Linked DNA regions of Saccharomyces cerevisiae S288C. The gene in region 3 interacts genetically with the main gene of each other region. Each region holds a gene or a part of one and is shown on either strand. Other genes may lie near its edges. The genes, in order: ASF1, ADD66, RPN4 and IRE1.

Region 1 (7,658 bases), on a different chromosome or scaffold from region 3:
TGCATTATCAGCAGCAGCAACAGCAGCTCCCGCAACATCATCCCTGGTACGACCTCTCGCTTTCTGAAGAAGCCCTCTCGACCTGCTGTTGTAGTTGACCTATAACTGAAAATTCACACCCGCATTACCCAGCGCGCCCGCACGTGCTCTTTATGGAAACTATAATGAATAACGACCAAAGAACATCTTTTTTTCTCTCTCACACAAATAAAGCTTTTCATGTTTATAGATATATAGCACATACTTTTACTAAGTTTTCTAGATTGATTACGACTCTTCCAGTTGCACATTTTTTCATAGCGAAAGTACAAGAGTAGGAAGAGTGGCACAATGGCGGTTCAACAAAGAAAGAAGAAAGAGGGTAGAAAGTCCGATAAAAATGCCCCATCGGTCCCACAAGTAGATGCATCATTAGACAAACCACTTGATATTGATGCTCCTCCTACTATTTACAGTGTTAATTTGAAACCAGAATATGGTACAGCTGCATTGAATTTGTCCGCGGATTTCATCAGACAAGAACAGGCATTGGCTAATAAGTATTTGTTCTTCCATCCCGTCATCCTTGTTGTTCTAACCATTGGGCTGCTTATTTACTTGACGCCAAGAATTGTCTTTCCGATAAGGAATACAGGATCCGTTGCTGGATGGTTCTACCAGCTGGCTCGTATTAATAAGAAGGTCGTCCTCAGCGGTTTAGTGTTCACCGCAATTGGTGCATCTTTCTTGTTCACCCTCCTCTCACGTGTATCTGACTCGTATTTCAAGTCGAAGATCAACCAACTTGTTGGTTCTAAAGGTGAGAAAGTTTTCGGCATCAATTTGAATGATTTGGTGGCAAGACATGAAACAAAGGATCCAGTGGTGAACAATACGCATATCATCGTTTATAGAGAAACGCCCATTGCATTGATTTCGTTAGCCCCTAACATGACATTAAGTACTGATGAAAATTTAGTCATGAGTGTTACTACTGTGGGTTGTCGTCGTGTATATGTAAAAAGTGGCATTATCGAAGATTTGATTGATTGGGCTATGCTACACTCCAAAAATATTAGAAGCAGCGGCAAATACGGGGAGACCATGAAACTCTTGATTGATGTCTACTCATTCGATAGCACGCTTAAGGAAATTTTGAAGAAAAAAGGGTTCACTTATATTCAAAGCATTAGAGTCTCTGAAAATCGACTACTAGGCGGTTTGTTCGGTGTGAAGAAGGAATTATGGGGTTTGCAATTCCATTTTAAAGCCGAACACAAGGACTAGGATACTGTTATTTTTATAGCCAAAAAATGAAAAAAAACAGCATGGCATCTTGTTAGTTCTGTTGCAACTCGCAGGAAGTAACAAAATAAACACTATAATATTTCCATATATTTATATATATGTATACAAACACCTTGTTAACAAAAAAAAAATAAACGAACTAAAGAAAACCGTAATGCAGAGTACACCTTGAAGAGAGAGAAAAGAAAATCTTTGAATCCATAGCATAATAGCGATCAACGAAACTTTTTAAGAAGTAAAATGAACTGAAAGGAGAAAAATATAACGGAATCCCAATGTATAATAATAAATAGAGAGCGGAAGAAAAAGAATAATAAGGGGAATTGAGGGTATCAAAATACAAGACATTCTTTTACCGAAAAGAAGAATGACTTAATAGAAAACAAATTCAGCAGATCCAGATAAAACAGAAACTGTGCAACCATCGGAACCATCTCCGGTGAAAGAGCCATCTTCATACGCACAGCTGCCCTGAACGTTAGCGCCATCGGATGCAACTATTTTAACGTTAAAGTTGGCAGCTTGGTTACTGTTGGGGTTTGGAATCAACGACAAGTATGTTTCTCCATTAGTGGAACCAGCACCTAACACTAGTGGAGCCCAGTTGCCGACATCCGAACCAGAAGTACCCCAAATGCACCCATCTTCTGCAGATACACCGGCGTTGTTAATATAGTACTGAGCAGAAGTCTTTTTACCCTGCCATTGATAATAAGTGTCTTCATCAACGACTGAAATTGGTTGTGAATCTCCACCATCAACCACTGTGGGAATCACCATGTTTTCTGATCCTGGGTAATCCGTCCTACATAGAGCAATGGAGTCAGACTTTTTGTTAATGGCCTTAGCAGATGTTTCATCCGTAGAACATAAATCGCTGGTATCAGTGTTGGTACGGTACAAGTAACCATTTTTACAGTAAAGACCACCAACAGATTTACCATCGCTTGGTTGGTCAGAAGGCCATTGAGTCTTTGACATTCCAGGTTCACATGCATAAGAACAGTAGTAGCCATCCTTACATTCGGACGAAGTGTTGGCATCCATGTCCATGACAGAGGCCCATCCACCAAATCCTAGCCAGTCCAAGGAAACTATACCGTTTACAGAAGGGAAGTCCGAACATTTGACAGTACCATCTTGGAATCCGCCATCACGCTTCTGTTCAGAGGTATCCTTCTCAGATGAGGACAATGTAGTGGTAGTAGCAGCAGATTCTACAGTACTAGTAGCGGCATTGGAATCTATGTATTGAGTGACAGTGACAACCGCTGGTTTTTCATCTTTGTGATGATCTTCATGGTGACTGTCCGCTGGAGCAGGTGCAGGGGCAGAAAATGCGACAGAAGAAAGGGAAGACAATATTAAAGCTGCGGAAATTTTCATTATGTGTTAGAGAGAGACGAGTTAAGTATGTGCGACTATACTAGTATTATAATATTAAAGGAAAGTAAGGTACCGTCTATGAGGAGACTGTTAGTTGGATATCAGTAATGAGACGAAAAAGCTCGAAATGAATGGATATATTCTTTTTGCTACTGGCAACTGTTGAATATTTAATGTTAAAACAAACTAACTGAGGTATATTCGTATCTGTATGTACACATATACTATATACAGGAAAAGATAAGCAAGAGAGAGGATATCAACTACGAGAGCGATCGATTATATATCAAAAGCTGTCCGCTTTGCCACCCATAATCGGCGCTTAGTTTCGGAGTTCAATCATAATTCTACCACCTTACACTCAACTTACTCTTTAACTCCTATAGTATAATATCGCCACTGACCCCATATTAAAAAAATTTTTTTGCTCGATCTTCTATCCTCTTTAGGTTAATTGTCGCTGTTATTGTCTAGATTTTTTCTCGGAGATGGCGCATCTATTTGCCGTCAAAAGATCCTCTCATACCATATTAAGTAAATTGCCTCCATTTCTTTTTCCTCGGGCAGAGAAACTCGCAGGCAACTTGCTCTCGAAGTGGTCACGTGCGGGTCTAGGCCTGCATAATCGGCCCTCACAGAGGGATCCCGTTACCCATCTATGCTGAAGATTTATCATACTATTCCTCCGCTCGTTTCTTTTTTCAGTGAGGTGTGTCGTGAAAGAAAACCCACAATTAAACTTTCAACAACCGGGCGACTAGGAAGAGAGTAGTGGGCGCGGATGACGAAGGCTAAGGTCACTTCTTCGTTTCCTTTATTGGGGTTTCCGTGTAGCCTTCCCCTGAATAGTGTGGGACGTTTTATGAGAAGCCGTAAGAAATAGGCAAATTGAGTTATGACAAGTAGACATGATGCCGCAGCCTTGCCTGACTTTACGTCTCCTTCATGAATAAGTTTTTCTATCGAGTTCTTTTCCTTTTTTCGCCTTAATTAGCTCAATTAAGCCTGTCCTCACTACTTTTCTTTTTCTTATCGGCTTTGTGCCACACCTAACCTTCGAATGCTGTTTTATTCCGTTCTTACATGGGATGGTAATGCCTTGGCGAGAATTTCGATTTTCAGGATATTGTCTTGGTGGCGTCTTTTGCTGTTACTATGTGTTTAAGAGAGAGCTGTTCTACAAAGAACTTTTCATTTACGCGTTTTTTCCTTTTTTTTTTTTTCTCATCCTAAACGCGTAAATCTGTTCCCTTTTTCATGTAATGGGCGTACAACCGACGATGGAAAAATGAATCTTGCAATTTTAATACTAACACTTGGAATAACTCCAAACAGGTAAGAGGCTCACAGAATCTCGAAAGTGTAACAGCGTACTCTCCCTACCATCCAATTGAAACATAAGATATAGAAAAGATGTCAATTGTTTCACTGTTAGGCATCAAAGTCTTAAACAACCCGGCAAAGTTCACTGATCCATATGAGTTTGAAATCACTTTTGAATGCTTAGAATCTTTAAAACATGACTTAGAGTGGAAACTAACCTATGTTGGGTCCTCTCGTTCTCTAGACCATGACCAGGAATTGGATTCCATTCTGGTAGGCCCCGTTCCCGTAGGTGTTAATAAATTTGTGTTTTCTGCTGACCCTCCCTCCGCCGAGCTGATTCCTGCGAGTGAATTGGTTAGTGTGACTGTTATTCTATTAAGTTGTTCTTATGACGGGAGAGAGTTTGTTAGGGTCGGTTACTACGTGAATAATGAGTACGATGAAGAAGAGTTAAGAGAAAATCCGCCAGCAAAGGTACAAGTAGATCATATTGTAAGAAATATACTGGCTGAAAAGCCAAGGGTAACAAGGTTTAACATTGTTTGGGATAATGAAAATGAAGGGGATTTATACCCACCTGAACAGCCCGGCGTAGATGATGAAGAGGAGGAGGACGATGAAGAAGAAGATGACGATGAAGATGATGAAGACGACGAAGATGACGATCAAGAAGATGGAGAGGGAGAGGCGGAAGAAGCGGCAGAGGAGGAAGAAGAGGAGGAAGAGAAGACTGAAGACAACGAAACGAATCTTGAAGAAGAGGAGGAAGACATAGAAAATAGTGACGGCGATGAGGAAGAAGGAGAAGAAGAGGTGGGGTCTGTAGACAAGAATGAAGATGGTAATGATAAGAAGAGGAGGAAAATAGAAGGGGGGTCCACGGATATTGAATCCACTCCAAAGGATGCGGCACGTTCAACGAATTAAGAATTTATGGGTTATAAGATTAATGGTACCTGCAAGAGAGGTACACTTTATAAAATGTATAAATAAAAAAATAACAGACATAAGATAAAGTCGGGTTAGGGCAACAGCTACGTAAAAAATAAAAGGCAGTAATATTTTCCATTTAAGTTGATTTTCTTATTATTGTCGTTGAGAACAAAAAGAAATTGGACGAGTCCGGAATCGAACCGGAGACCTCTCCCATGCTAAGGGAGCGCGCTACCGACTACGCCACACGCCCTAATATTATTGATATTGTTGTTTATCAAAGTGAGATACGTCAGTATGACAATACGTCATCCTAAAAGTTCATAAAACACATATGAAACAACTTCATAACAGAACGAACATGTTGGAATAAAAATCCACTATCGTCTATCAACTAATAGTTATATTATCATGTTGGAACGAGAGTAATTAATAGTGACATGAGTTGCTATGGTAACAATCTAATGCTTACATCGTATATTAATGTACAACTCGTATACGTTTAAGTGTGATTGCGCCTATTGCAGAAGGAATGTTAAACGAGAAGCTCAGACAATACTGAAGCTGTGTTAAAGACCTATTAGTTGAACATGTTATGGTAGGTACATATATGAGGAATATGAGTCGTCACATCAATGTATAGTAACTACCGGAATCACTATTATATTGGTCATAATTAATATGACCAATCGGCGTGTGTTTTATATACCTCTCTTATTTAGTATAAGAAGATCAGTACTCACTTCTTCATTAATACTAATTTTTAACCTCTAATTATCAACATGGCGACCCCAGTGAGGGGTGAAACAAGAAATGTTATTGACGACAACATTTCTGCGCGGATTCAATCGAAAGTCAAAACAAATGATACTGTCAGACAGACGCCATCATCATTAAGAAAAGTTTCTATTAAAGATGAACAGGTGAGACAATATCAAAGAAACTTAAATAGGTTTAAAACCATACTAAATGGTTTAAAGGCAGAAGAGGAAAAACTTTCTGAGGCTGATGATATTCAGATGCTAGCTGAAAAATTATTAAAACTCGGAGAAACCATTGACAAGGTTGAGAATAGGATTGTGGATCTAGTTGAAAAGATACAATTATTGGAAACAAACGAGAACAATAATATATTACATGAACATATAGATGCTACAGGGACTTACTATTTATTCGATACGTTAACTTCAACCAACAAAAGATTCTACCCTAAGGATTGTGTTTTTGATTATAGGACTAATAATGTCGAGAACATTCCTATTCTCTTAAACAATTTTAAAAAATTCATCAAGAAATATCAATTTGATGATGTCTTTGAAAATGATATCATAGAAATCGATCCTCGTGAAAATGAAATCTTGTGCAAGATAATCAAAGAAGGACTCGGTGAAAGTTTAGATATCATGAACACAAATACAACTGACATTTTTAGGATAATCGATGGTTTAAAAAAACAAATATAGAAGTTTGCATGGTAGAGATGTCAGAATTAGAGCCTGGGAAAAGGTTTTGGTTGATACAACATGTAGAAATTCCGCATTGTTAATGAATAAACTTCAAAAGTTGGTACTAATGGAAAAATGGATTTTTTCTAAATGCTGCCAAGATTGTCCTAATCTAAAGGATTACCTACAAGAAGCTATCATGGGAACCTTACATGAATCCTTAAGAAATTCTGTGAAACAACGTTTGTACAACATTCCACATGACGTAGGAATTGATCACGAAGAATTTCTAATCAATACTGTTATTGAAACAGTAATTGATTTGAGCCCAATTGCAGACGATCAAATAGAAAATAGCTGCATGTATTGCAAATCTGTTTTCCATTGCTCAATTAACTGCAAAAAGAAACCAAATAGGGAACTTAGGCCTGACTCGACCAATTTCTCAAAAACCTATTATCTACAAGGTGCACAGAGACAACAACCACTTAAGTCCAGTGCAAAACGAACAAAAGTCTTGGAACAAGACACAAAAAAGGTCGAACAAAGTGTACAACAGCAAAAAACTGGTAATTATTGATACCGGTTCCGGAGTAAACATTACCAATGACAAAACCTTACTGCATAATTACGAAGACAGTAATCGCAGTACACGATTTTTTGGTATTGGGAAAAACAGTTCAGTGTCTGTTAAAGGGTATGGCTATATAAAAATCAAGAATGGTCACAACAATACTGACAATAAGTGTCTATTAACTTACTATGTACCGGAAGAAGAATCCACTATAATCAGCTGTTATGACTTAGCCAAGAAAACCAAAATGGTTTTAAGTCGAAAATATACCAGATTGGGAAACAAAATCATAAAAATTAAAACCAAGATAGTTAATGGTGTCATTCACGTAAAAATGAACGAGTTAATTGAACGTCCTTCCGATGATTCAAAAATAAATGCAATAAAACCTACTTCTTCTCCTGGATTTAAACTAAATAAAAGGTCTATTACCTTGGAAGATGCTCATAAAAGAATGGGCCATACAGGAATTCAACAAATTGAAAATTCCATAAAACATAATCATTATGAAGAATCCCTTGACTTAATCAAAGAACCAAATGAATTTTGGTGTCAAACCTGTAAAATCTCTAAAGCCACGAAAAGAAATCATTATACCGGGTCTATGAATAATCATAGTACTGATCATGAACCAGGCTCATCATGGTGCATGGATATATTTGGCCCTGTATCAAGTTCAAACGCGGACACTAAAAGGTACATGCTTA
Region 2 (7,284 bases), on a different chromosome or scaffold from region 3:
AACATAAGTATATGGGAGAATTATAACAAGTTAAGTGATGATGATAGGATAAGATAATATAGGATACATGTTATATACAAACTCTAGATAATAAAGATGAAAAATGAAAAGGAAAAGAACATGCTTTTAGATAGTATGTTCACTGTGTTTTTGTCGTTTCCTGTCAAGTACTCGCTCGTTACGCATCTCATTTTATATTCTTTTTAGAGTTTAATCCTGGTGGTAACTGGTTTGTAACATTTTTGCCATTGGCATTAATAATAGATGGAATTGGCATAGGGGAGTTACTACCAAAACCTTGCTGGAAATTAGGGGGGAAATTTCCTTGTAGCATCATATTTGGATAAGGTGGCTGTGGCTGTTGTCCTGTTACCGGTAACATACCATTTGGTGGGATTGGGAACCCCTGTGGTAATGGTGGCATTGGGCCGTTAGGAAAGTTAGGATGCATTGGAAAAAACCCTGGAGGTGGGGGTGGTGGCATGTATTGCTGTTGAGGCAGATCTGGCGTTGCTGTTTCCTCTTGTTTTCCCTTGCTATTTCTTGTTCCGTTTGGATTTTTATTTTGCCTTAATTGCCTGTCTTCCTTCTTATTTACATCTTTAGAATCTTTCTGGAATTGAACGAGACCTGGTGGCGGTGGCATCATGCGTTGTGGAAAATTTGGTGGTACACCCATCACAGGAAATTGTGGACCCTGATGAGCAATTAGTCCTGGGGGTGGAGGAGGAGGAGTACTAGTTTCACTTTTACCTTTATTCAATAGCCCATTGAAAAATGCGTTGTTATTAGGAGGATGCTGGGTAAATGCCATTGGTTGCATTTGTTGCGGTTGCTGCTGGAATTGCGGAAGAGTCTGCATCTTTCCATTATCTTTGTCTGAGGCTGATAACAACTGCGATTCTGCATTTGGAGTGCTCGATCTAGATTCTTTGAAAAACGACATCAGTCTTGAACCACTTTGATGAGGTGTACTGTTGCCATCGTTGTTTACTACAGACACGTTTGACGATGGCACTTGATTATTATTATCTAATGAAGGCAACGAAGTGGCAGATTTATTGAAAAATGATGAAAACCGAGATGATGAACTTTTACCCAAATCTGAATTAGTTTCTAATTCGTTAACTTGTTCTATACTGGTTTTGGATAGGCTTGGCTGTCCAACAGGAATACCAGGTGTTTGTTGTGAAGATTCTTCCTTCTTATCTTGCCTCTTTAAATTCAAAAAATCTGTTATTGAACTAGGGCCCCTTGGAATGACCGGTCTTAAATCGGTGGGTGTTTCATGAGAGGCGCTTTCCCTGGGAGCAATTGCGGTAGAGTTACTGATTCCTTTAGATTTTGAAAGTTTTTTCAATTCTAATTCTTTCATCTTTGCCTTCCAATCTTCAAAATCTGCAATTGAATGGCCGACGTCACCTCCTAATTGAAGATTCTTGTCCATCTCCAGCATTTCTTGGTCAATCTTTTTTTCTTCATCATCTTGTTGAGATCTTCGTTTGCCTCCCTGCATGTTTTTGGTTCTACTCATTCTTCTCTCATCGTTTTTCCCATTCTTGTAACCAGCCTTCCAACTGCCTCCACCATTGTTCCCATTAAAATGATGGTTATTAGCATGCTTTTGATCTGGAGGTCCCATGCGCAATCGCCAAAACTTTCTTTTGGGTAAACTCCTCACAAGTTCCGAAATAAGTGGGTCTTCTTCGTACGAAGCACTTGCCAAAGATGGTTTCAAATGATAAAGTTCATTCATGGAGTATGCATATGTCTTGTATTGCAGATCCATTGGTTTGTAGTTCGTTATAGGGTCCGTCAAACTGCTGAAATTTAGCATGGCCGTTTTCTTATTTTTTTTTTTATTGCTTTCTTTATTGTTACCGCTCGTAGCAACAGAAATGTTAGAGCTATCAGTTGAAGATTCTACGCTACCGATTGGCTTCTCTTCTCTGCCCTTTTTGGCTAATTTTTGGAATAAATTTGAGATGGCTTGTTGCGATTTGTGAGTAGCGGCTGCAGTATCGCTGTCAGACAATTCACCTGAAAACTGGCTGCTTGATATAATTGAAGGGTCGTTGAGTTCCATTGTATGGGTTAAAGTCCTACTATGCTAGTTCTTTGTGTAGCTTAGAGACTGAAACATTCATATACTCTAATATCTCACCTGATCCTTTTTGAACCTTCCAACGATTTCTTTGAAATTAAAAAAACTAAACGTTTGTCATTCTTTACGTAATACATAGAAGTAATGGTATGTCACGTATAAATAATAGATAAAGAAGCACTTTTAGTGCCATTACATGACTAGCTGCTAAACCAAAGTGAATGATAAGTCTAATTACATATTACCAATTTAAATATTAGTATAAATATAATTACAACTTTTACTCTCGTTTTGCATTTTTTTTTTATTTTCAGGTTTTCTGCGCCTGAAAGCTATTGACCTTGCTTTAAAACAGAAATGAAATTATCTACAAACCATTTTTCGAATTGCTTTTGACCCATTGTGGTTAACATATTAACCAACTGAATCGTCAATTCCTGTGGTAATTGGATTTGTGGAAGGTAGATCTGAGTTAAATATTTTACACATTCATTCTCATTTGTGGTGGGGTTGCTGCTGACGATAAATAGCTCCCTCAGTAATCTTGCCAAATCATATGCCATTGTTTTGAAATTCCCTTCTTTGATATTGAACTTGTATATTGGATTGAACGGAATTTCAAAGATTATTGGGACACATTTCATGATGAAGTATTCGTTGAGACCATCTATTTTAAGGTTGGGATCTTTATTGATGTCGTCATTATCCAAGCAGGTCCCATTCCCAAAACATTTGATAAAATTGCACAATACATTGAGTGACACTTTCATCATTGATGTTTCCTGGATCTCTTGCGGCGTATAGGTGACCAAATCGTTTAATATGACCGGCAGGATTGCTCTGTTTATATCTGACAATAGTATCGAAGTGACGGAATTATTAGTAAATGACTGTAAAAATGTGCAGTAAGCCTTTTTCAATAGTATTTTATCTCTATACGAATCGGTGACCACGATATTCTTATTTACGGAGGTGGCTGTGACTGCAGTGTCTATAGGTTTGTTACTGCTTGATTGTTGGTCGTGTTGTTCATCAATCTCTTCGATAATAGAATGGACTTTGTTGATAAGCGGAGTAAGTAACTGGTTAAACAGCTGATAACAGTCTGTGTCCGTGTGAAACATATGAATCAGTTGAGATAAGAACCCAAGAAAATCAATCATCTCCCATGATTTTAAATCTGTGGACGATAAGATCAATTCAATCAATTTATTGATAAATGGTAAAATTTTATTACTTAAAATTGGAATTAACCTGGCAAAGGTAAACCTAGATGCATCGCGGATATTTTCGAACTTATTGAAAAAAGAGAATGTTACTAATATAACCTCAGCTATATTAGAGAATTTATGGATTAAAGAGTCATTGATTAATTTTTTGTTGACAACCATATTGTTGACCTGATTCTCAGGGACGAGACCAATGTGCAAACCTCTCGCTAAAGTACCAATAGCCATAAGAATGTGATGACATTCCAGAATCACAACTGGCGAAGCTCCTTGGGTAATACAACCCTCTAATTGTGTAAATAGCGGAGTTAATATCTGGTCCAATATATCGTAATCGATGGGGGTGTTGGCAGTGGCAGCAGTGAGCTCCTGACTGCTATTATTCAATGTGATTATAAACCCAATACCCTCAAATATGTACAACTGATTATCAAAAATTGTATCATTGTCATCCGTCCCTTGGGCGTTGATAGATGTTACTTTTATGTGAAGTAGAGGACTTATCTTATTAGTTATTTCATTAACCAAATTTTTGTTGGCAAAGAGGATTTTTTTCAAATTGATTCTTGTCAACTTCAAGAATCTTGTAAATAAATACCATGACCTTAGTCTGACGTTTTCTCTTTTATTGAACATAGCAAATGAGCTCATGAAAATATTCAATATTAATAGATACTTTTCATCATCATCAGTAGCATTTGCTGTGTTAGCACTAGTTGAAAATATGAAATTGTAGTTTTTCACAATTAATTCCATGAATAGTATTTGGATTTGTTCGTTATCAATGGCTAATAAGAAATCCTTCATCATTAACAATTCATTTAAAAATCGTACTAAAGTTAGCGAAGGTTGTGAGGTCATAATTTCATTCTTGTTCAAACCGAAATAGTTGTTCTTGGTACATTCACTTAAATTGAAGATTTGATAAATAGTTAGCTCGAAAATTTGCCAGCTTTCGTTTTTACAATTCATTAGGTTTGCTGAAATTTCTTGAGAAATGTTATTTAAAAACAGACTTGGGTCAATTACCACGATGATCTCCTGGAAATTTTTTAATTTAAATCTTACGGTTTCGTTGAATTCCTCAAAATCATCCTGTGTGACCTCGTCGTCTGAAAACTTCATTCTTTTAAAGCAAATTTGTTGGAAATTATCTAGAAAATCCTTATGCAATGGTACAAAATTTGGTGAAGATGCTTTATATTTTTTCAAGAAAGCCAGATAATTTGACCAGAATGGGAAGGTTTTTGCTGTTATTGAATCAAACTCATTATTCATAAATTCCAAAAGTATTGGTATTATTTTCTCCAATAATATGGAATCAACATTTGAAATGACCGATTGTTTGTATAATGTATCCAATTTTTGATCATCGTTGACTTGTTCAATAATGATAGTAAATTCTATGCCAAAGGAAGTAATCAACTTGGTCAAACTTTCCCAGACTTCTAAATTATCAAATGTAATAATTTGGGGATTCATTGATATGGCTTGATGATAGTAAGTCAATTCGTTGGTCAAATTGATCATATTCAGAAAAGCCAGTTTGTCCATTGGTTTCATTTTTTTAGAGATGATGGCCAGTATGCAATTATAACATGAAATTTTGGTTTCTTTAAGATTTAAAAATTTATAGATTAATTGCAGATAATAATTATTTGCATCAATAATTAAATTAATATCGATCCATGAGATAAAACTCCCAATACAATCCAAGGTAGAATTGATCAATCCGGGACATTGTGACACAATTTGTTCGTCCAGTTTTAAACACTGAAACCACACATTACTCAATTTCATGATATCGTTATCACGCATCCAATCTTTTATATTGTTATTTTTTAACTGAGATTCCTTAGACCTAATAAAGCTTTGGTCAGCAATCTCCGAATTAATCATCAAACAGAGCTTGTTAAAAAATTCAAGACCTAGAAGAATGTTACCATCGGTAGACGGGCTCGTATTGGAAATAGCCGAATCCACTTGGAATAGACTCATCAGATCGTCAAAAAAACTGTTCCACTGGTTTCCATTACAATCACTGTACATTAACATAAACAAAGTAGTCAGCACTTCAGAAATCTTATTCATTAAAAAGTCAGGCAGCTTAGTTTGCTTATTGCCCAAAACTTGAAATTTGAGCCATTTGGTTATTTCAAACTTTACCAGATTCAAACCATTTGGATTAGCGTTCACGCCCTCCGTCATCAATTCTATCAATGTGGACAGTCCGTAAAACTTCAACAAATCATTTGAATTCTCGTTGATGACCAATGATATAAAGATTTCCAATGCATTCTCTGATGATTTAATCCCATTTAGCAGCTCGATGGCTTGTCTCTTAGTGGCCACATCTGAGCGTGGATCGTTCACTGCATTTACCAGCTGCTGAATCCGTTCTAGCATTCCTCGATTTGACTGGAAACACTTGTTCTATAGGTTGCTTACCGACAACTTCTCAAACTAACTGATGGAATTTGAAAAAATTTTAGTTTTTTTTTGTTAGCTAATTTTTCAATTTTTCGCTTTGAGCCTGAAAATGATCCCACAATGAGTAACCTGCTAAAAAAAAAGCCACCTACACTAAAATAAGGAAATTAAATTAAAACTTCAGGAAAGAATAGCACAAAACCCAAAGGAACATACGATGAGCTGCCTGGTGTTGCCATTAGTAAGCGTAGGGAATATACCACAATTGAGTATTGACTGGCTGCTGAATTCACAAGCAAATGAATGGGAATATTTGGAGGCGTTAGATTCGAAATACCTAGTGGAATTTGTGGGACCATTAGACAGACCAGAGGATGGTAGCGACTCGCTATATAAAGACGCTGATATGAAGTATAGCAGCGCTTTGGAAGTTTTCTACAATAAGAAGCGAGGACTTTTTGCCATACAGCAACGAACACCACTCGTGTCCGTTAACTATCTGAATAATTTCATCGTAGAGATCATCTTGCCGTTCTTGAGCAAGTATAATATATCGGAAATATGCATTTGGGACTCTCTATATGCAATGGAGGATGAAAATGGTGTGATTGTACGTCCACAGGAGGTATATTCGCTCGGAGAGTTTTATTTCGACGATGAAGCTGAGCTTTTATCGAACCTCCATCTAAACGATCAAGAGTCGATGGTCAATAACTGGTTACATTTTACTCCTACCAGTTTCCAAGACAAGATATCCGTTGATCAGCCGATCTTCAAAATACTTTTCCAAATACTGAATGCGTCGCAGAGGCCTAAAGCCCTCCGCAGCATTAAGTACTGTAGTTGTTTGGCCAATGAGGGGGACAACTCATTAGATTCTCAACAGTTCTTACAATGGATAATCTCTCAAAAAGTTATCAAAAACGCGCCACCAATTGTAAAGTTTGTCAGGCCTATATCATGGCAAGGTGCATACGGAATGGCGGATGCAAGAGATAAATTTGTAGATTTATACAATTGAAACCGAGAAGTATATCTGTTTTCTATACAAGTGCATATATAGCCACGAACTTACATATACTGTTTCAAAACCCTTTGCTCAACGTTATCAAGACAAGTCTCATGCTGAATGATAGTCAAATCGTTAGCCATCGCATGCATTGCTTTGTCAACCTGTGATTGTGGAGGGCCTTGGGGGCCCTGAGGGCCACCTATCCCGGCCTGAATACCCATGTCCTGATCGTTTAACCCAATCAGGTTGTAGACTGGATTTAGCCCGAGCACAGAAATAAAATACCATGAAATGGAGCTAACCCATCTCACATCCAGGTCCTGACAGATAATACCGGTCTGTAACATCTCTTTGAATTTGGCAGTCAAAGGGAAAGGTAGTTGCATAAGAATAAATCCAGCAAAAAAATGGTTCACCCACCACATAATAATAGTTTGAGGGATGAAACTGGCCATATTACCCTTAGCCATGTTCATCATAGCATTAGACATACTTGGATCGTTGAAGGG
Region 3 (4,842 bases):
CATGTTGTTATCACCCCACGACGAAGATAATACGGAGCTCACCGTTTTCTTTTTTTTTCCCTTTGGCTGAAATTTCCCACCAGAACAAACGTGACAAAATTATCTTTGAATCCAAAGTAGCTTATATATATACGTAGAAGTGTTTCGAGACACACATCCAAATACGAGGTTGTTCAATTTAAACCCAAGAATACATAAAAAAAATATAGATATATTAACTTAGTAAACAATGACTGCAAGCACACCATCCAATGTCATGACATTGTTCTTGTTAAGGCATGGACAAAGTGAATTGAATCACGAGAATATATTCTGTGGTTGGATTGACGCTAAGCTAACCGAAAAAGGTAAAGAACAAGCTCGTCATTCTGCCGAGCTAATCGAACAATATTGTAAAGCTAATAATTTGAGATTACCCCAGATTGGTTACACCTCACGTTTAATTAGGACCCAACAGACCATAGAAACGATGTGTGAAGAATTTAAGTTAAAGCCACAACTGCAGGTTGTTTACGACTTTAATAAAATCAAACTTGGAGACGAATTTGGCAGTGATGACAAGGATAATATGAAAATCCCGATTCTTCAAACTTGGAGGCTAAATGAACGTCATTACGGTTCCTGGCAGGGCCAGAGGAAACCGAATGTTTTAAAAGAATATGGTAAGGATAAATATATGTTCATTAGGAGAGATTACGAGGGTAAGCCACCACCTGTAGATCTTGACCGTGAGATGATTCAACAAGAAAATGAGAAGGGCTCTTCTACTGGGTACGAATTCAAGGAGCCAAACAGACAAATAAAATATGAATTGGAATGCAGCAATCATGACATTGTATTACCGGATTCCGAATCTCTTCGTGAAGTGGTTTATAGATTGAATCCTTTTCTACAAAATGTCATATTAAAATTAGCCAATCAATATGATGAATCTTCATGCCTGATTGTGGGCCATGGAAGTTCAGTGAGATCGCTACTGAAAATTCTGGAGGGTATATCAGATGATGACATCAAGAATGTTGATATTCCAAATGGTATCCCCTTAGTCGTTGAATTAGATAAGAATAATGGTCTTAAGTTTATCAGAAAATTCTACCTAGATCCTGAATCTGCTAAGATCAATGCTGAGAAAGTCCGTAATGAGGGTTTCATAAAAAATCCTTAAGGGGGGTAAGTATATAATATAATTGTGTATTTTCCGAAGTATAATGAAAACCAATAGAAAACTTATTATAAGTCCAATGAGGTACTTTAAAAATGTGATATTTATAAGAACATTCCTGAATGCAGATATATGATATATATTGTAAATATATATAGATGTGTATATGTATTTCCATTTTGTGTGAGGTTTTCTTCTTTTATCTCCTATATAATTTGTAACCTTAATTAACCCATGACATAACCAATATTAGCCTTTGCAAATTTTGTAACTTCTTGACGTTGTTCTAACGACAAATCTTCATGCTTCGATTTTATATGCCTTGTTAAAGCATCCAGTCTCGAAAACGTCTTCTGATAGCCCTCAGATCCAAGAATTTTTATACACTCCGAGCAACGGAAGACAATCTTCCTTTTAGCGTGAATGGTATTTTGGTGTCTCGTTAAATCATAGGACCTTGAAAATTGGGCACCACACGGTTCATTTGTAATGAGATTCATTATCTGACACGTAAATATTTCGTTATTACCGTCAGAAGATGACGTATGGGCCGATGGTGATGCAGTCGAAGGTTTCGAATTCGAATTTGTAGATGAATGTGAAGATAAGTGCTTCTTAGTATAATTAATTAGCTTCCGCCTACTAGCATTTGAGCTTACTACAGCTGATGTAGGCTTCTTTATTCTTTCTAATGTGCCGTTTTCATTACTGTTACTAACGCAACTACGGTTACTGGATGATTTTGCTGGTTTCCTTTTACCGGTAGTAGCAGTAGACGGTACGTTTGCCGAGGTTGAGGGAGATGGAAATCTTTCAAAATCAATAGTGTTTTTATTGAGGACAAAACTTTGCTTTCTTCTGTTCTTCAAGAGAGAGATATCGTAGATATCGTCTTCATCAAGATCATTATCCTCATCCTCATCCTCTATCTTCTCATGTCCCCGTTCATCTAACAGATCTTCAGATACAACACTGGAAATGCTGTCCATGTTAGAGTCAACGTAACTGTACTCATTAAATAAATGACTAGAACTCTTGGCACGACCCGTTTTTTGATCTGAGCCAAACATTGAGATTGGTGTAACATCCAATGACAGTAAAGGCTCCTCTTGGTGTTGCTCTTGTTGCAAACAATTTTCTTCTATTTCATCCTCTTCATCATCACTGATATCGTCGTCATCAGAGTCAAATTCATTGTTAAAAATAGCTCTCGCATCCTCATTGTTTATTGCGGCGCTATTATCTTGAAGTGACCACTGCATTTTCGGATTATAATTATCCTCATAGAAAAGCACTTCTTCATCATTACCATATAGATTGTCACCGTTATCGAAAAAATCGTTGGAAATTTTAACATCATAATTGAACGTATTCCGTGTCGGTACATACGGGTCTGATACTTTCATTATATTCTTTAGATTGACGGTCTTCTGCAATGGGGTTTCGCTAGCACCCTTAATCTCGTTTGGTATGAGATGGACATTATTAATCTGTCTATCGTTGGCCGTTGCTTCACTAGTCGTAAAAGAGGTGGTGGTAGTTAAAGTAGGATCCGCGTATTTGTTGAATATCGGGAAATGGTAGGTTTGTTGTGGGGGTATCGAAGCTGCACTCGATTCATTCTGGTGTTGTAATGAATGATTCCACGTAAAAGTGTTGTTTTCCTTGTTCTTATTCACCAACTTATATGGAGTAATACTAGCATTTGGATGATAGTTTTGATAATGACTCGTAAACTGACTGTGACCTGGATTAGTATGGTACAACTCGTCTTCTAAAATATCCGTTAAGGTTCTTTTTAGGCTAAGTTCCGTAGAAGCCATGATTGCTTGAAAATTCTAGAAAACTTTTGAAAAGATACAAATTAGCTATTAGTACTATCTACTATTAGTTCAACTAAAAAGCGGAGTTCTTCCTTGAGGAGAAAAGGATGAACAAAATGGAACTGATCTACTCCTTAAATATTCCACGCCAAGAAGAAAAAAGAGTTTCGGGTTTATCTTTAATTTATATTAGAGATAAAACGTATCCTCCTCCTTGAACGATAAAAAATTATCCGTGTGGGTTAGGCTGCTCATCCCGGGCTTTCCCCAAATTGGGCTTCGAACTATTCTTTCCTTATATAGAATTGCTCTCCTCAACAAGTTTCGCCGAAACGGAACTTTCTAGAACCATCACTGTAAACGGCTATTAGTAATAGCGATCACGTGATTATCCGTGGAAAGGTTCGTACGGGCTGAGGCACCTTTCTTTGAGTTCCACGGAACTTGTTATTACAGGAACAGAAAGGTAGTAAAAAAAGAAGTAACGTCCTCTCAGTGCATATAGTTTGATCTCTATAACAATCCGTAGTTGGTTTTCTCAACAATTAATATTGAATACGTTAGTGATGATTGGTTTTCAACCTCTGCCGCTAATTTAGGCACAGTTCTATCGCAGCCGTAATGGAGGCATTATATAGCACTTTAGCGTCGTAACGAAGGGTTATGGTAACCGCCTAACGATTTTATTTACTCGCTTGTTGCTTGCTTTGTAATTGGTTATATGGATTTCAAAATAATATGGTCATCTGACCATGGTGACATAACCAAAGTGTTCGAAAAGATAACTAAATTGATACATCTAGGAAAACTGAAGGAAATCCCTATTGTTAAGTAAACATACTATATATGCCAAAAGAAACAAATGTGCGGTAGAATAAAATACAATTCAGTACAATAAAATACATTCAAAATACATACAAGTACCAGGAAAAAAGCTCGCATAAAAAAGGCGTGTTAAAAAATGTCACCACAATCTTTCAAATCATGATCTCTTCTTTTAACCCAATATTTGCCCGTATATCTCCAATATTTAGCTTTTGTGATGGGATGAGTATCCCTGACGAACCATTGTGGGTGATATTCAAGGTTATTTTCCTCCCTTTTTCTGCGTGCTGCTCTTTGCTTTTCTTCAACTCTGAATTTCTCATCACCAGCTTCGTCATAACGCCCATCTTCCATTGCTCTTTGATCTGGTCTCAAACGTGTATCTGTGGGGGGTAACCATGGCAATAGATGTGGTTGTGGAGCATTCAGCGTGATAGCAAAAGGTGTTAAATTGAATGGCTCCTCAGGACGGTCGTTTGCCTTCCATATTAAAAACTTCGTTCCGTCATCCGTAGGCCCATTCCCTGCTGATGCAGCGGTTCTAGTTTTCTCCAACGAGAGATCGCCATCTTTTACTACTTTCTTGGCAAAAATAGCTTCATTCCAGTGTCCTCCTAGGATCCACACCTTCTGTTTTTTCTTGTTGTAGACTTCGCCTGTGATTTCATATGCTCCTGATGACCTCCATCCCCTTGCTTTGAAATACAACTTGCAATGATCACCGGTTGTGTGATTGACAACGTTCACTTCACCGTGGTTATCAACTTGTGGATTACCAATGAGAATACCTATAACAGTATTGTTGGGCTTCTTCCAAGTATACAGTTCCTCTTTTTCATTGTCATTTGGACGCAACTTAATGTGCCATAATCCTAAGTGCTTAACATTGAAAGATCTGCCATTGAATTTAGTATCAACAAATGATTCACCCCAAAAGTCCCATCTTGGTGATTCAGTCCATGTTGCAGATATAGGAGGGTGATGTGAAACCTGCTCGGTGAAAAATCTGTACTGTTTATCTGGTCGAGAATA
Region 4 (10,018 bases), on a different chromosome or scaffold from region 3:
CAGGAAGTAAAAGTAAACCATCATCATTATCTAGATTGGCATTTGGAAATTTGAAAGGCCATATTCACTCGAACTCACATTCAAGCTCTAATGCTATCTCAGGAGATGATACATCATTAGATGACACTAGAAAGATGACGGATGATATGGCCAGGAAAGTGGTTTTCGAACCCATCAGGCACTCTCATGATAAGCCTACCCCCGGAGTTGGAAACTTAAAATTAGAGCACTTCGATGATTCTCAAGCTACTCTTGAAGGGTTAGAGGCAATGTCAGCAGAATCGCTGCCAGAGGCGGATCACCTTGACAGCAGAGGCCCGGTACAACAAAGTAATTTGGAAAGAAAAACTGTTCCTTCCAAATGGTCAGTAGTCAGTTCCTCTACAACAGATGGAGTCAAGCCTAGAAGAAGAGCCAAATCAATGATTAGCGCAATGGCAGATAAACAAAACACCAGTAGCGACGTTTTACAAGATTGTAAAAAAAGATTGTCCTTCAACTCCTCTAATGGCCTAACGAATAACGACCCGGAGTATGAAGACCGCGAACCTAGGGAAATGTCCAAGAAGTTTCTTAACAGGAGGTCATTTTCCCCCGGAAGCATTAGCATGGGAATGAAAGTACTACCTTCGACGGCACTGAAATATTCGCTAAACAAAGTAAAAAACAGCACTGATATTGCATCGACCATCATACCGAGACCTAGTATGTCCAACGGTCGTCCATCTTCGGGATTGAGGAGAAGTTCTAGTAAAAGCTTTTCATCTACCCCCGTAAATATCATTGAGCCATCGGAGGAAAATGGTAGACAATCCAGCATTAGAATAAAGGGAGTCGAATACGCGAGCGAAAAGAAAGATGCAGAATTCCATGCAATATTCAAGGACTCTGGTGTCAGCCCCAATGAAAGGTTGATTTTAGACCATAGTTGTGCTTTGTCAAGAGATATCCTTTTGCAAGGCAGAATGTATATTTCTGATCAACATATTGGATTTTATTCGAACATCCTTGGTTGGGTAAGTACCGTTTTTATACCGTTCAAGACAATCGTTCAAATAGAGAAAAGGGCCACAGCAGGAATATTCCCTAATGGGATCGTTATAGACACTTTACACACAAAATACACGTTTGCCTCTTTCACTTCAAGAGATGCTACATATGATTTAATTACTGAAGTATGGAATCAAATAATTTTGGGAAAGAGGTTTCGTAGCAACAGTAATAACACTAATAGCAGCTCCAATTCTATCAGTGATGATGAAAATGACGATTACGATGATGATTACGATGATTATGGAGATGATGATGACGATCTTTACGATAATAGCAATAACATATCTGATTCTACCGACATGACATCAAGCGTCAGCATAGGAAAGCCGGAAGATTTACCCATGCCTCTACAAACAGACACCCCTTATGGAACAGGAATTCCACCACTAGGTCCAAAAATTCACTCACCCACAGAAACAGTATACAAACCAGCGCCCAATGAAAAATTAGTTAACGAATCAACAATACACGCTTCGTTAGGGCGGGTTGTCAATATATTATTCGGGAAAGATGTCAGTTATATTATGGCCATTTTAAAAGCGCAAAAGAATAGTGATATTTCGCCAATCCCTGTTCTCGTTGATTCACCCACGGTTTCTGAAGGTAAAAAGAGAGATTATTCCTACGTAAAAACAACACCAGGTGCCATTGGACCCGGTAAAACTAAATGCATGATAACTGAAACCATTCAACACTTTAACTTAGAGGAGTATGTTCAAGTCTTGCAAACAACAAAAACTCCGGATGTTCCTTCTGGAAATTCATTTTATGTGAGAACAGTTTATCTTTTATCATGGGCAAACAACAATGAAACAAAACTAAAACTGTATGTCTCTGTTGAATGGACAGGTAAAAGCTTGATCAAAAGTCCTATTGAAAAGGGTACATTTGATGGTGTAACGGATGCAACAAAGATATTGGTGGAGGAGCTTGGTAATATTTTAACAAGATCTGCTACCAAAAGGAAAAGGTCTTCGAAGGAGAACACTGTTACAGTATCAACTTTACCGAAAATGGAACCTAGCTCACATGCACCTACCGAGCCTGATATTCAAAAGGATAAGGATGACTCTATTATAAGGGAAAATGAGAATATACCAGCTCCATTAGGGACCGTGGTCCAATTGCTATTTGGATCGAATACAGAGTATATGCAGAAAGTTATCACTAGAGATAAGAATAATGTCAATGTGGAAACGATACCAAAATTCACGCCTTCGTTGGTTGAAGGAGGTTCAAGACACTATGAGTACACGAAGAAATTGAACAATTCTATCGGACCTAAGCAAACAAAATGTTTACTAACCGAGTCTATTGAACACATGGATATCAATAACTATGTTTTGGTGACACAAACAACTAAAACTCCAGACGTCCCCTCTGGTAGCAATTTTGCAGTAGAAAGTAAAATCTTTCTATTCTGGGGGCAGCATGACACCACGAATATGACCGTTATAACAAAAATCAACTGGACAAGTAAATCATTTTTGAAAGGTGCAATTGAGAAAGGATCTGTTGAGGGTCAGAAGGTTTCTGTCGATTACATGCTATCCGAGTTAAGAGACATTATTAGCAGGGCAAAAAGCAAAAAACCGGTGAAGAAAGTAATGAAGAGTCATGATAAACATAGGCCTTTCCATAGTAAGGTTGAACAGAAAAGTTCCGAAAGCCGTAAGAGCGATGATAATAAAGACATTTTAACTCATATTTTGGATTTCGTTCAGAATAATTTTAGTTCAGAAATTTTTATGAACAAATTGCTGAGTCCTCAAAAACTATTCTTGATCTTGGGGTTGACCATTATGCTTTTCTGGTCTCCTCGGCTTCACGTGTTTCAAGAAAAAAATAATCTTCAAATCATCAAGCCAGGAAGGCTGCTGATTGATGGTCAAGAATATAATTACGTGCCCAGTTTCGGCACACTGTATAACTCATATGAAAACGCCATATCATCTAAGAAGAAGAGAGAAAATGTAAATTACGCAAGGGATAAGAGTCCTATTGTAGGAAGGGAAAGCGATATTTGGGATTGGATCAGTAACAGAGGGAGTGCAATATCACCTCGAGGTCGTGCTATGTTGAGAAACGATGACGAACACAAATTGCAGCAATTATCAGAAAGTATCAAAATAACAGAAATGCAACTAAATCATATGAAAACTATGTTGGACAACATTGAGAGGGACGCAAATGATCTATCTTAATAGCATTTTATATATTCTGTTTGTATTATTTAGTAATTGTATCTAGTACATATCCTGTAGCGGTTGGCCTGATTCCTTTTAAGTTAGATGACAGGCACACTTTGCATTATCACATCAGACGGAATTGTTCTGCCTAATGGCGGCTATTCTATTTCTGCTTCATAAATGCAAAGACAGAGTATAAGAATAATTTTAAATTAAAAGCAATGGTCTTATCCTTGCCATAAACAGAAGACAACTTGCAAGTATGAACTATTTGGAAACACAGTTAAATAAAAAGCAAAAACAGATACAGGAATACGAAAGTATGAATGGCAACCTGATAAAGATGTTTGAGCAATTGTCTAAAGAAAAGAAAAAGTATGTAGCTATTTTTTCCAGTCGGCAAAAATCGGTATAACAAACAAAAAATATTTAGTTTCTGTTATTAACAGAACTTGTCAAAGTGATGAGACACCAAAAAAAATTTCCTCGACGTACATTAAAGAGTTAAAGGAGTACAACGAATTGAGAGATGCCGGTTTAAGGTTGGCCCAAATAATTGCTGATGAAAAGCAATGCAAAATTAAGGATGTTTTTGAAGAGATCGGTTATTCAATGAAGGACTAATGGGCTTTTAGGGACAGTTCTATTCTTCCAACGTGCGAAGCGTTCCAATGAAACTCTGCTGCGCGCTGAAAACTATATAAAAAAAAAAAAAGATAAAATTACAAAGAAGTAATGAACTTAAATGCTATTATACAGTTACTAATTAAGCTGCGTAGTGTGAAATATATTGATAGTTGTAGTTTTGAGGTTTTATTACCCTCTGTTATATAATAGGTTTTCGCTATTTTATTGCCGAAAATCAAGACGGAGCGTAAGCCTCTTCGGGCAATACCTTCGACTATTCCAACAATAAAATTTAAAAAAAGAGATTAATCACATAGTAACAAGAAATAAACGAAAAACATATCATAGGAGATCAATGAGCCAACTTCACATAAACTAACAGTGAAAAGTCTATAACAATATTAATTTTACACAATTAAATCTACACTATAACTGGCACTGTTAATAATCGGTAATCTGCTAAGTAACTTTTTTTTCTCATTCACAAAGCATCGTTTTCCTCTTCCCCACGTCCATTATCACTTTTCTCCATATCACCCTTCATACACATTAAAAAAACAGCATATCTGAGGAATTAATATTTTAGCACTTTGAAAAATGCGTCTACTTCGAAGAAACATGTTAGTATTGACACTGCTCGTTTGTGTGTTTTCATCCATCATTTCATGCTCAATCCCATTGTCGTCTCGCACCTCAAGGCGGCAGATAGTGGAAGATGAAGTTGCCTCCACTAAAAAGCTCAATTTCAACTATGGTGTGGATAAAAATATAAACTCGCCCATTCCTGCTCCAAGAACCACTGAAGGTTTACCAAATATGAAACTCAGCTCATATCCAACTCCTAACTTATTGAATACTGCTGATAATCGACGTGCTAACAAAAAAGGACGTAGGGCTGCCAATTCTATAAGTGTACCCTATTTGGAGAATCGTTCCTTGAACGAACTGAGTTTATCAGATATACTAATCGCAGCCGACGTTGAGGGTGGACTTCATGCTGTAGATAGAAGAAATGGTCATATCATATGGTCAATCGAACCAGAAAATTTTCAACCTCTGATAGAAATACAAGAACCTTCGAGGTTAGAAACATATGAAACGTTGATTATAGAACCTTTCGGTGATGGGAACATTTACTACTTTAACGCCCATCAAGGGTTACAAAAACTGCCTTTATCCATACGACAACTTGTATCAACTTCCCCGCTGCACTTGAAAACAAATATTGTGGTTAATGACTCTGGAAAAATTGTTGAAGATGAAAAGGTCTACACTGGATCGATGAGAACTATAATGTATACTATAAACATGTTGAATGGTGAAATTATATCAGCGTTCGGACCTGGTTCAAAAAACGGGTATTTCGGGAGCCAGAGTGTGGATTGCTCACCTGAGGAGAAGATAAAACTTCAGGAATGTGAAAATATGATTGTAATAGGCAAAACTATTTTTGAGCTGGGAATTCACTCTTATGATGGAGCAAGCTACAATGTCACTTACTCTACATGGCAGCAAAATGTTTTAGATGTTCCCCTAGCGCTTCAGAATACATTTTCAAAGGACGGCATGTGCATAGCGCCTTTCCGTGATAAATCATTGCTAGCAAGCGATTTAGATTTTAGAATTGCTAGATGGGTTTCTCCGACATTCCCCGGAATTATTGTTGGGCTTTTCGATGTGTTTAATGATCTCCGCACCAATGAAAATATACTGGTACCGCATCCCTTTAATCCTGGTGATCATGAAAGTATATCGAGTAACAAAGTTTACTTGGATCAGACTTCGAACCTCTCCTGGTTTGCATTATCTAGTCAGAATTTTCCATCTTTAGTCGAATCAGCTCCCATATCAAGATACGCTTCCAGTGACCGTTGGAGGGTGTCTTCAATTTTTGAAGATGAGACTTTATTCAAGAACGCAATCATGGGTGTTCATCAGATATATAATAATGAATATGATCACCTTTATGAAAACTATGAAAAAACGAATAGTTTGGACACTACGCACAAATATCCACCTCTGATGATTGATTCGTCCGTTGATACAACCGATTTACATCAGAATAACGAGATGAATTCACTAAAGGAATACATGTCACCAGAAGACCTTGAGGCATATAGAAAAAAGATACACGAGCAAATATCGAGAGAATTAGATGAAAAGAACCAAAATTCTTTGCTACTGAAGTTTGGAAGTCTAGTATATCGAATTATAGAGACTGGAGTATTTCTGTTGTTATTTCTCATTTTTTGTGCAATACTACAAAGATTCAAAATTTTGCCGCCACTATATGTATTATTATCCAAAATTGGATTTATGCCTGAAAAGGAAATCCCCATAGTTGAGTCGAAATCGCTAAATTGTCCCTCTTCATCGGAAAATGTAACCAAGCCATTCGATATGAAATCAGGGAAGCAAGTTGTTTTTGAAGGTGCTGTGAACGATGGAAGTCTAAAATCTGAAAAAGATAACGATGATGCTGATGAAGATGATGAAAAATCACTAGATTTAACCACAGAAAAGAAGAAGAGGAAAAGAGGTTCGAGAGGAGGCAAAAAGGGCCGAAAATCACGCATTGCAAATATACCAAACTTTGAGCAATCTTTAAAAAATTTGGTAGTATCCGAAAAAATTTTAGGTTACGGTTCATCAGGAACAGTAGTTTTTCAGGGAAGTTTTCAAGGAAGACCTGTTGCGGTAAAGAGAATGTTAATTGATTTTTGTGACATAGCTTTAATGGAAATAAAACTTTTGACTGAAAGCGATGATCACCCTAACGTCATACGATACTACTGTTCAGAAACAACAGACAGATTTTTGTATATTGCTTTAGAGCTCTGCAATTTGAACCTTCAAGATTTGGTGGAGTCTAAGAATGTATCAGATGAAAACCTGAAATTACAGAAAGAGTATAATCCAATTTCGTTATTGAGACAAATAGCGTCCGGGGTAGCACATTTACATTCTTTAAAGATTATCCATCGAGATTTAAAGCCTCAAAATATTCTCGTTTCTACTTCGAGTAGGTTTACTGCCGATCAGCAAACAGGAGCAGAAAATCTTCGAATTTTGATATCAGACTTTGGTCTTTGCAAAAAACTAGACTCTGGTCAGTCTTCATTTAGAACAAATTTGAATAACCCTTCTGGCACAAGTGGTTGGAGGGCCCCAGAGCTGCTTGAAGAATCAAACAATTTGCAGTGCCAAGTCGAAACGGAACACTCTTCTAGTAGGCATACAGTAGTTTCATCTGATTCTTTTTATGATCCGTTCACCAAGAGGAGGCTAACAAGATCTATTGATATTTTTTCTATGGGATGTGTATTCTATTATATCCTATCCAAAGGGAAGCATCCATTTGGAGATAAATATTCACGTGAAAGCAATATCATAAGAGGAATATTCAGTCTTGATGAAATGAAATGTCTACATGATAGATCCTTAATTGCAGAAGCTACAGATCTGATCTCCCAAATGATTGATCACGATCCGTTAAAAAGACCTACTGCTATGAAAGTTCTAAGGCATCCGTTGTTTTGGCCAAAGTCGAAAAAATTGGAGTTCCTTTTAAAAGTTAGTGATAGGCTTGAAATTGAAAACAGAGACCCTCCAAGTGCCCTGTTAATGAAATTTGACGCCGGTTCTGACTTTGTAATACCCAGTGGAGATTGGACTGTCAAGTTTGATAAAACATTCATGGACAACCTTGAAAGGTACAGAAAATACCATTCATCAAAGTTAATGGATCTATTAAGAGCACTTAGGAATAAATATCATCATTTTATGGATTTACCTGAAGATATAGCAGAACTAATGGGGCCGGTACCCGATGGATTTTACGATTACTTCACCAAGCGTTTTCCAAACCTATTAATAGGTGTTTATATGATTGTCAAGGAAAATTTAAGTGACGATCAAATTTTACGTGAATTTTTGTATTCATAACATGTTCATGCCCCTCTGCTTCTTCTTGGTTGATTATTGCATTAATGTTACTTTGATCATTAGTAGTAACCATCCATAATTTTTACGCCCTTGCATAAATGAAAAAAAGTTGTACTTCTTCATGAACCTATACTACTTTTCTCATCCCTACATAAACTACCCGACAGACATTTAATTTTATAAATACATATCTCATAAACATCGAACATCGACATACTACTCCAGTTATTCAACACTGACTTTTTTGGTGGAAAGCTTTCGTTCTGCAATTCTTATGCAAATAAAGGTAAACACACATGCAAAAGCGTAGACTTCATCAAACCAAGAATCTATGACAATGTTTGGGACGGTAAACTTTCCACCCAATAGCTCCTTTAATCTTTGTGATACTTCAAAAGGGAGATGGGACCTAACCATTAGCGTTGTAGCCAAAACGTAGACGCCAGTCAACTCTGACACCACCAGATTTTTTATCAAAGATATTCCTTTTTGTTCCTGAGAATAGTTTCTCTTTTTTCCCTTATAGGAAGAGTTATTGGTGTACTCTGGAAGTACATTAGCAGTGTCATCATTCTGCATGGCGAAAAGTGCAAGAATCTGGAACTTTATGGGCAAAAGGGTCACAACGTAGGAGATGGTGGTATTGACAGCAGAAAGACAGCAAAGAAAGAGAGAAATTGACAAAAATAACGATATCTGTTTTGTTAACGAATCGAGATCGTGCTGGTAATTGAACCTGAAAAACGAAAAATCCAAAATATTTGCTATCGTAATGGCTAAAGGATCGGATGCTGCATTTTCACTAAAATTTTCATAATCGTAGTCATCTGGATATTTGAGCGAGTGGTATATGATATAGGGGATTCTTTTCAGGAAAGTTATTATTAGTTTATGAAGACAGTATATGATAAACCCGACTTCAAAAGCTTTCTTAAAAGTGCGTACCTGAGGGGACTGTTGTAATAATGCTTCCAATTTCCCAAGCTCCAGTTGATACCAGGCGATTTTTTCCATCAACTCTGCTTTAAAAGTTGAGTTTTCTCCGACCTCTTCTTCTAAACTTCTTAATATTTGTACATTTTGTTCAATGTTGTGTTCATAATCTTGGATTTTTTCCTCTATATAGGCGTCTGTTGTCCATAAGAGAGATTTACTGTTATTGTTGCTGTTGTTGATGTTTCTAAAACTGGGGTCTGACATTGGTGTATTACGAAACTTGTGCCAGATGACTAAAAAGTTGTAGTATAAACTAGAAACAGTGGCTAACCCAGATAGGGAAGCCATGACTGTGACGCCTCCGATGGACAATCTAGTTAGAATATTTTTTGTGTACTGGAACGGTCCAATATTTATGTAACTTAACAGCGCAATAAGTGTGGACAAGATTATGCATGTCACTATTATCAACCTATCGATATCGAACTTGTCATTGTAGAATTTATTCAGTAACGATATTATAATGAAAAAGGGCTGAAATAAAATTAGTATGAAGGATAGCATGATTGCAGTCAGAGGCCACACCCAAGTCGTTATGAAAGTAACTTCCTTGTCCATTCCAGCAACCTTAATCTGCCATAGAATAATCTCTATGGTTACTGTATACGTCATCATTGCTAATGAAAAAAGGACTCGCAGTGATTGCAGTACCTTATGTGAGGGTAAAGAATACTCTGTGTAGAATTTATTTATGAAATTACCCATACTAGACACATCCTCATTCGAGCCAACTTCCATTTTGCTTGCCAACGGAATGACATTTTTCTTCGAGGAAGTTGATATAATGTCAAACAAAGACCCTACTTTAAACCAGAGCCTTTCATAGGAGCATTTGTAAGCAAATGCTCCGGATACGGAAAGCACTATAAATACGATAAGTGCCTCCATCCCGTCCACCACTTAGTCTACACTCAATAGTCCTTTCTAGTGCAGGTCCTGGAGGCAACCGCCAGAGTTGAGATCTTTTCCTTTTCTTTCCCTGCTGGTCAATTTTTATTGTTCAGGACTCGGTCATCGCAGATATCGCAATTTTTCACTCGTTTGAGTCTAGACTGTAAAATAAAACCGAATGGTTAAGCTAAAATAGACTCTGTATGACTAAGTCGTTCACTAAAGTTCATTATTTCATGCCTGAATGACCTTTATCTTAATTATGCACCATCATATAGCGTTTCTATGATCACTACGGGATATTATGATATTGTTAG

What was found.
Region 1: mutations in RPN4 (region 3) and ASF1 together harm fitness more than expected from each alone (negative genetic interaction), as found in Saccharomyces cerevisiae (5 studies listed by BioGRID, with this or other methods).
Region 2: mutations in RPN4 (region 3) and ADD66 impair growth when combined (synthetic growth defect), as found in Saccharomyces cerevisiae (6 studies listed by BioGRID, with this or other methods).
Region 4: mutations in RPN4 (region 3) and IRE1 together harm fitness more than expected from each alone (negative genetic interaction), as found in Saccharomyces cerevisiae (7 studies listed by BioGRID, with this or other methods).

What each region holds. Positions count from the first base shown.
Region 1 is NC_001142.9:192,201-199,858, forward strand, and holds ASF1 (nucleosome assembly factor ASF1), read left to right. Parts: upstream 1-4,086; coding exon 4,087-4,926; downstream 4,927-7,658. Other genes in the region: YJL118W (uncharacterized protein), read left to right, coding at 1-98; PHO86 (Pho86p), read left to right, coding at 331-1,266; SUN family protein NCA3, read right to left, coding at 1,660-2,673; YJL114W (gag protein), read left to right, coding at 5,715-6,395. UniProt on the Saccharomyces cerevisiae protein: Histone chaperone that facilitates histone deposition and histone exchange and removal during nucleosome assembly and disassembly. Facilitates histone deposition through both replication-dependent and replication-independent chromatin assembly pathways.
Region 2 is NC_001143.9:48,506-55,789, reverse strand, and holds ADD66 (Add66p), read left to right. Parts: upstream 1-5,980; coding exon 5,981-6,784; downstream 6,785-7,284. Other genes in the region: EAP1 (Eap1p), read right to left, coding at 188-2,086; Ran GTPase-binding protein LOS1, read right to left, coding at 2,437-5,739; ER membrane complex subunit EMC3, read right to left, coding at 6,835-7,284. UniProt on the Saccharomyces cerevisiae protein: Involved in 20S proteasome assembly. Required for maximal proteasome activity. Affects the chymotrypsin-like activity of the proteasome. Can be degraded by the proteasome. Involved in the endoplasmic reticulum-associated degradation (ERAD).
Region 3 is NC_001136.10:413,724-418,565, forward strand, and holds RPN4 (stress-regulated transcription factor RPN4), read right to left. Parts: upstream 2,986-4,842; coding exon 1,390-2,985; downstream 1-1,389. Other genes in the region: phosphoglycerate mutase family protein GPM2, read left to right, coding at 230-1,165; oxysterol-binding protein related protein OSH2, read right to left, coding at 3,940-4,842. UniProt on the Saccharomyces cerevisiae protein: Acts as a transcriptional activator of a number of genes encoding proteasomal subunits. Binds to a PACE (proteasome-associated control element) DNA sequence 5'-GGTGGCAAA-3'.
Region 4 is NC_001140.6:256,040-266,057, reverse strand, and holds IRE1 (bifunctional endoribonuclease/protein kinase IRE1), read left to right. Parts: upstream 1-4,466; coding exon 4,467-7,814; downstream 7,815-10,018. Other genes in the region: LAM4 (Lam4p), read left to right, coding at 1-3,257; SAE3 (Sae3p), read left to right, coding at 3,505-3,617, 3,704-3,866; YHR078W (uncharacterized protein), read right to left, coding at 8,040-9,698. UniProt on the Saccharomyces cerevisiae protein: Senses unfolded proteins in the lumen of the endoplasmic reticulum via its N-terminal domain which leads to enzyme auto-activation.